2 linked regions of the Caenorhabditis elegans genome follow. The protein of the gene in region 2 interacts with the protein of the main gene of each other region in a pairwise test. Each region holds a gene or a part of one and is shown on either strand. Other genes may lie near its edges.

Evidence for each region.
Region 1: the proteins of grwd-1 (region 2) and nhr-133 interact in a two-hybrid assay, tested with the Caenorhabditis elegans proteins (one large-scale study listed by BioGRID).

The regions. Positions count from the first base shown.
Region 1 is NC_003283.11:2,210,208-2,214,133, forward strand, and holds nhr-133 (Nuclear hormone receptor family member nhr-133), read right to left. Parts: upstream 1,912-3,926; 5' UTR 1,867-1,911; coding exon 1,688-1,866; intron 1,626-1,687; coding exon 1,567-1,625; exon of another isoform or gene 1,563-1,566; intron 1,516-1,562; coding exon 1,316-1,515; intron 1,217-1,315; coding exon 995-1,216; intron 946-994; coding exon 755-945; intron 711-754; coding exon 341-710; 3' UTR 303-340; downstream 1-302. Other genes in the region: Putative galactoside 2-alpha-L-fucosyltransferase svh-11, read left to right, coding at 1-2; nhr-184 (Nuclear Hormone Receptor family), read right to left, coding at 2,726-3,095, 3,141-3,331, 3,384-3,605, 3,720-3,919. UniProt on the Caenorhabditis elegans protein: Orphan nuclear receptor.
Region 2 is NC_003281.10:5,151,311-5,155,236, forward strand, and holds the start of grwd-1 (Glutamate-rich WD repeat-containing protein 1), read left to right. Parts: upstream 1-2,153; 5' UTR 2,154-2,235; coding exon 2,236-2,358; intron 2,359-2,404; coding exon 2,405-2,498; intron 2,499-2,546; coding exon 2,547-2,704; intron 2,705-2,843; coding exon 2,844-3,294; intron 3,295-3,470; coding exon 3,471-3,926. Other genes in the region: rbm-42 (RNA-binding protein 42), read right to left, coding at 731-1,306, 1,435-1,738, 1,789-1,817.

The sequences.
Region 1 (3,926 bases), on a different chromosome or scaffold from region 2:
GACATTAATGTGTTTTTTTGTAAATTTACCAGTTTAGTATTAGCTTCATAAATATTTGATTTTAAGAAAACCTTATATTATTTATTCAGCACTGACTCAAATTCTTTTTTTAAACTATCATCCGTACATCTACAGCGACCGAAACATGGAAAATGAGGATTTTGCAAAATCGGGAGGACACTTTCAATTTCCATGATTTTTGAAGGCCTTTTCAGGTTTAATCTCTATTTTTAATCTCATTCGAGAAATTAGAAGATAAAAATTTCAATCCGCGCTTTTCGGGTAAGAAAGGAATCGGGATATCCTTTAAATTATTGAAAACTTTATTGAAAAAACCGTATCAAGAAAATTCAAACATTTCCGGATGGGAGTACTCAACAAAAAACAAATCGAACACTTTAGCAATATGATTCTTCTCTTTCCGATCCCTCACGTCTGCTTCAATAGCTCTATTGATCTTCATCAGCCTCGCAAGTCTTCCAGAATAGTTGACTAGCTTCAGCTTCTTGGTATAATACTCGTGCATATTATCCGATTGAATTTGCAGTATTTTCTCAGTGGCTTCTAGCACGTGGCCCTGATATTTCTGCCCAGCACTGTTCAGGCACAACTGAATGAGCATGAAGTTGAGCTCAACGTTTGTGGGGTCCAGTTCTACCAGGTCCGAAAGAGCATGTCGCCAGTATTTTTCGATATCGGGGACTAGAAATCTGAAAATTAAATTTAAAATTAAAAAATCCAAAGCCGCCATAACCCTCTCAACTGCTCCACAGAATAGTTCGAACTCCATTTTATATCGATTTTAACATTTCCAGGATTCATGCAAGTATTGTCTGTCCACATGTATACATCATTTCCCAGCAATTTTTGTCTATGAAAATCCGCAGTTGCTGCTAGCTTGTCCAGTCGAGCCCAAATCATCCAGGAAGTTTTGAGAATATCTATCTAGAAAAATTCAAGTAAATATGTAGAGCATCTGATAAAAAAGCATTACCTTAATTTGCGGGTCTAGCATCGAAAATTCTGGAAGCCTGGCAAACCATTGAGCAGCTCCCAAAAATGATTGCTCCAAAAATAGCAACGCCTCATTTCGTCCAATAGTTGTCGCAATCTCCAGTTTTTTGCTCGACTCTTTTAATTTGATTTCTTCCATCTCGAAGGTTAGCTTTTCCAGTGAGTTAGGGTAATGATTAGGACTCCATGAATATGCAGCATCCTGGAAAGACTTGATGAGTAATAGTTAAAAATTTTGCGTGAAATCTGATGTAAGTTTCAGGAATACACCATATTTTAGGCGCAAATATATCTCCATTACCTCTTGAAAAATCGCCCAAGCTTTATCGACAAGACTTGTCACATCCACCAGACGTTTCGTGGAGCTGGCTTTGTCCGGCTCACAGCACAAAATGAATTCGGGCCGGCCGAGAAAATTTGCCAAACTTTGAGGTGCGCTGGTTTTCGTGTAGTTCGTTGGACGGAGGGAAGACGAAATGAGGTCCCGGTCGTTTTGAAATTCTGTAAATGACATGAAATTAATTTCATTCTATTCGTTTAAAAAATACCCACTGCTCGAGTTCATCCCAACTTCACAACACTTTTTCAACCGACAGATTTTACAGCGATATCTGAAATTTTTTACAATTTTAATTTTTCAAGTTTTCAGCTTCTACACAAAAAAAACACTTACAAATCATTTCCAATGCAATTTCCCTTTCTGCAAACTCTATCCTGATATTTTGCATTTTGAAGTGCGGCTCTTCGGAAAAATGCGGCACACGCTCGGCAACTGAGCACACCGAAATGATTGCCGTGAGCCGGTTGCTCGCAGATCTCGCATGGCCCGGAAAGGTAGAGGGCAGGTGGCATTTTTAGTTATACATAAAACACGTGAAAGAACGATGATCAATGGTAGTGTAGAACCGATAAAACGTGCCGAGAGACGCAGACTGTTGAAGGAAAGGAAAATAAATAGACTGCGGTTTTAGGGTGTAGGGAATATCAAAAGATCAACAAATAAAAATAGAGTGCCGTTATATAATAGTCCAATAAGTACAAATTCCATAAAAACACAAAACCTGTTAGGTTTTTCAAAATTTTCAGTCAAAAAATCTCAAAAAAGTTGGGCAAGTTTTAAAATTTTTTTTGGTCATTTTAAAACGCATGGGTGGTTTTTTTTTAAATTTATCCCTGACAATACTTGAAAGAAAAAGTTAGAAAAACATTTTAAATGCTAAATTATAGCAGCGAACTTCCAAAGTTCAGTGAGAGTTTTTTAGTTTTCTCAATGGAAAACAGCAGTTCTAGAAATAACAAAATTTGATATCTTAAAGGCGGAGTAGCGTCAGTCGTGATTTTGCCTAAATATACTTATTATGATCCAAAATGACCAAATATTATAATAAAACACTCGAAAAAATTTTAGATTTTTCATAATTTCCGGTCAAAGTTTTGTCCAGTTGCCAAAATTTTTGACTGAGTAATTGTCACTTTTTGACAGCAAATAAACAATTTTCAAAAAAAAATCTTTGAATGGTTTTATTATGATATTCGGCCACTTTGGCACCATCGGAGTAGTTTTTAACACTTTCCCCCACTGGCGCTACTCCACCTTTAAAAGTGATGATTGAATAAAAATTTAATTTTTCATTCAAAATTCGATTTTTTTTAAATCAAGGATACATTCATTAGTAAGTTGTTTAACAAAAATTTTATTGTCAATTATTAATCAAGTGCCCTCAAACATTTCCGGATGCGAATAAACAATTGAAAACAGGTCAAAAACTTCGACAATCTTCGCTTTTTCCTTTCTCTCCCTCACATCTTCCTCGACAATTTGGTTGATTTTCATCAGTTTTGTCAATCGTCCAGAGTATGATGGCATGTTCAACTTTTTGGTATAATAATTATGCAAATTATCTGCATTGATTTGCAAGAGCTTATCAGTTGCCTCTAGGACACGTCCTTGAAATTTCTTGCCAGCATCGTTAAGGCAGAGTTGAATGAGCATGAAGTTGAGCTCCATATCTGTTGGGTTGAGCTTCACGAGGTCTTCCACTGGCTGTCTCCAATGCTTATCAATATTTGGCATTAGGAATCTGTAAAATTTTCTCTTAAGAAAATTTAAAAAACCTGAAACTTACGCTTGCATTTGCTCTGCACCGTAATTGGTACACCAGCTCCAGTCAACATTGATATCCTGCACATTCAGACAAGTGTTTTCTGAGCACATAAAAATGTTTGCACCCATTTCTTTAATTCTTTGATTTTGTGCTGTTTCAGCTAGCTTGTTCAGTCGAATCCAAAGCATCCACGTGGATTTTAGTATTTCCAGCTGGAAAATTACAGACTTTGTTGGCTCGAAATTTAAATACCGAATACCATACCTTAACACGAAGATCCAGACTTGTAAAATCTGGAAGTCTTGCGTACCAGTTCGCGGTCGCCAAGAACATTTGCTCGAAAAAGACAAGCGATTCAGCTTTCCCAATATTCCGCACAATTTTTACTTTATGATTTGAGCTTCTTAACCGCAAGTCTTCCATTTCCAATGTGAGCTTTTCCAGGCTATTGCTGTATTTGTAGGGCATTGGTGAGTTGGCTAGGTCCTTAAAATTGCACAATAGCGAGCAACCGACAAATTACAGGACGGCAAAATTTGATGCGAAAAAAACATCAATTGGCCCGTGAAGTGTCGGCTTGTGCCAAAAAATAACCTTTACCTCCTGGAAAATTTCTGCAGCTTTGTGAACCAAATCCGTCACATCTATCACTGTCTTGAAAGGAGAAGCCTTTTCGGGCTCGAAACTTATTATGAATTCGGGCCGCCCGAGAAAGTTTGCCAAACTTTGTGGAGCATAAACTTTCGTGCGTTTAAGGTATGCATTGGAGCTTGAAATAAGGTCACGGTCCTTTTGAAATTCTGAACA
Region 2 (3,926 bases):
AATGAAGACACCTACTAACTATACTTATATAGAAAGTTCTAGCCAATGAAGGGGTCGAAAGTATTTTTCATTTTTGTAACAAAATTAGTTGAAAGTATCTAATTGACAAATCCTATACTAGATATAATGTCTACCTATCTTAACTTCCAGCCAAAATCATTTAAATTTCAGGAAGAACATTTTTGAAACACAGACACGAAAATTCTCGTTTTGTGCGCTAAATATACAGTACTCCGTCTCGACAAGAATTTTTTGTTAGTTATTGTTAAAATTTATGCTTTACTGAAGTTTTTGATTAGTAGATATATTTTTATCAAACAACTTCAAAGAATCGTTAGAAATTGAACTACAACGAAATTTTTTAATTACAGTACTCTTTAAAGGCGCACAGCATTTCGAATTTAACAAAAATGTATCGTGTCGAGACCGGATACGGTATTGTTCCCTCAAAATTTGAAGTTTTCAAAAGATTTCAGCCTTTCTTAAATATGAATTGAAAAGAAAAAACTCAAAAATGTAATGTTCTAAAATGACAGTAGAGGTATATTTTGCACTGGACATGCAACAGTGCTCCTGATACTCAAATAACGATAAATATCTCAATTCAGACTTTTATATATTGAAAAGAAAAATGAATAAAAATACGATGACAGGAAAATAAGGGGTACAATGAAAGTATTGGGGTATAAATGAATAAATTACAGAAAAAAATGTAGAAAAACGAATCGATTTACAAAATTCCAAGTTCTTTCTTTTGCTTTCTCTTTTGCTTGATAACATCAATATTACGCTCCTTCCATGCCGATTTTCTCAATTTAATCGGTCGATTTCCAACATATTTTCCGTCCATTTCACGCATAGCTCTCACATAATCCTCCGAATCTCTGAATGAAACGAATCCATATCCTTTACTCTTATTTGTTCGTGATTCTCTGACAACTTTGGCTTTTTGGAAACTTGGGTATTTTCGAAAAGCCTTTGCAAGAAGTTCATCCGACACTTCATTTCCCAGATCTCCACAGAAAACTCGAAAATCATTTTCATCCCATTCGGCAAGAGATGGATCTTCCCAAACCTGACCACCACCGGATCTCACAAACTTCTTTTTCGCTTGTTGTTCCTTGATTTTCTTCTTAAATGGATCGGTTTGCTTTTTGAAATTCATCTTATCAATATCTGATTGAAGAGCTTGAGTTCGCAGAAGTTCTTGTGGAATTGCGTTTACTGCAGGTGTTTCATATAATGCTGGAGCACCTTCAATAGTTGCAGGAGCCGGAATTCCGAGTACTCGAGGAGGGAACATTATCTGTAAATTTAATATTCAATTGAGAGTAATATTCACATAACTTCAATTTTTAACTTTTCTCTCAAAAATTTATGGCTTTATTCATAAAATAAGGATATTTTTTAAGTCAACGGAAAATCAAAACTAACCGGTGCAGCTCTTAATTGTGGAGGCATGAAAATTGAAGGTGGAACTGGAGGCATTGTTGGAAGCCTCCCAAGTGCCGGGTTGATAAATGGAGAAACTGCAATTGTGGCAGCTATCGGAATAAACGGAGGCGCTGCCAAAAGTGATGGTTGAATAACTTGAGCACTAGAAGTAGCTGCTGATGACTCGGAAGTAGTTGGTCCTGCCGAAATTGTTGCATTATCGTAGCCAACATGCGTTTGAGAGCTTGCTGGCTCCTCCGAATTGCTACTCGCTTGTTCAAGTTCGGCTAACTCGCTTTCAAATCTAAAATAATATAATTTGTTTGATAATAAATATAGGAAGAATCAACTTACAAAGCCAGTTCATCATCCAAGTTGGCCATTGTTGAAGGGTGAGCGTTTCAGGCTGAAAATAAGTCTAAATATAGTCAGAAAGTACAGAAACTTTGCGACAGATAAATCAAAAAATATTAATATTTAATATTATTATCTTTAACACATAAATGAATACAAATAAAAGGAAAATAGCTTTTGTTTCGAAAAACATTAAAAAATTGATAAAAATATTAAGAGTACGCAAACACCGCATGAAATAAGCCAGAGACGACGCACTTTTGCGTACTCTAAAATTTTTTCTGTTTTCCTATTTATTTTTTTTATCCTCCCAATTTTCACGCTTTACTAGTAGTTTTGTGCTCATAATTGTTTTAAAATTTAAGAAAACACCCTCTGAAGTTCCAAATATTACCTCATCCGCTTTTTCTAACATTTCTTAAGAGATATATTCTGTATCTGCAGAAAATGTCCGGTGAAAATGACGTTGAAATGCATGATGAGGATCCAGTGGAGGATATAGACGAGTCTGAAGAGGAAGTTGATGAAACTGATGATGAAGACGAGGAAGTACCGGAGAATCAGAGACAAGTGAGCTAGAAATTTCGTACAATACTTCTAATTGTTAAAATTGCAGGCTTACATTCCAGGCCTCAGCCGGCCATTGAAAAAAGGAGAAGAATTGGATTTTGACCCTAGTGCTTACAAACTATTTCATAGTTTCAATTCTGGTGATTCAAACGAAATTGTTTCTAAAATATTTATATTTTATGATTTAGATTGGCCATGCTTGTCGTTTGACGTTGTTAAAGATGGTTTGGGCGAGAACAGAACACAATTCCCTGCCGAATGTTATATTGTCAGTGGAACTCAAGCCGATAAGCCAAGGGATAACGAAATCATTGTGATGGGATTGAAGAATCTTACAACGATGAGGGTTAGTCGGTTTCAAACTTTTTTATTATTTACCTGTTATGAAATTGAAATTCCGGCCAACGTTTAGTTTTAAGCTCAGTAACACAATTGTTAAACTAAAAAAAACAAGGATATCTCTACAATAAAAGTGAGTATTTCAGAAAGAAAAAGAAAACAAAGGCGACGACAGTGACACCTCTGAAGACGAATCCGAAGATGAAGATGCCGAAGAAGAGAAGAAAAGAGAACCAAAAATGCACGCTGTTTCGATTCCTCACTATGGTGGTATTAACCGAATTCGTTCCGATCGTCTTGGTGACAGTACTGTATGTGCTTGCTGGAGTGATCAAGGACGTGTCCAGGTGTGGAATATCACTGATGCATTGAATTATACTCATGGAATGAGCGGAGAGTCGAAGACTGAAGTGCAAAAGATCGATCGACCCTTGTTCACGAATAATGGATCTGGAAAAGAAGGATATGGACTTGCTTGGTCTTCATTAAAAACTGGAGACTTGGCTACTGGTGATATCATCAAAAAGATTTATTTGTGGCAAATGAAGGAAGGAGGACAATGGGCTGTTGGAGCTAATCCATTAACTGGACATAAAAGTAATTTATTTAATTTTGATCTGAAAATTCCAAAAATTGAAATGTGTCTCCTGAATGGCGTTTGAGTGGTTTTTTCTTGAATAGATTGGAAAAAAACAAAAATCTGAATTAAAAACTTGTCTTTGTCGCATAAAAATTTTTGAGCATTTTTCAGTACATATTCCAATATTTTTCAGAGAGTGTCGAAGATCTTGCATGGTCACCAACTGAAACTGGACTTCTTGCTTCATGTTCCGCGGATGGAAGTATCAAACTATGGGATACACGTTCTGCTCCAAAAGATGCCTGCGTCTGTACAGTGCAAAAAGCTCATGAATCCGATGTTAATGTTATTTCGTGGAATCGTCACGAAAACCTCATTGTTTCTGGTGGTGATGACGGAGAGCTGAAAATTTGGTCTTTGAAAACAATCCAATTCGGTCAACCAGTGGCACTCTTCAAGTATCACAATTCACCAATCACTTCAGTCGACTGGCATCCACATGAAACAACGACATTTATGGCTTCCGGTGAAGACGATCAGACAACAATTTGGGATATTGCAACTGAAGCAGATGGACAAACGAATATCGAAGGAGTTCCACCACAGCTGATGTTCGTCCATATGGGTCAGAATGAGGTCAAAGAAGTTC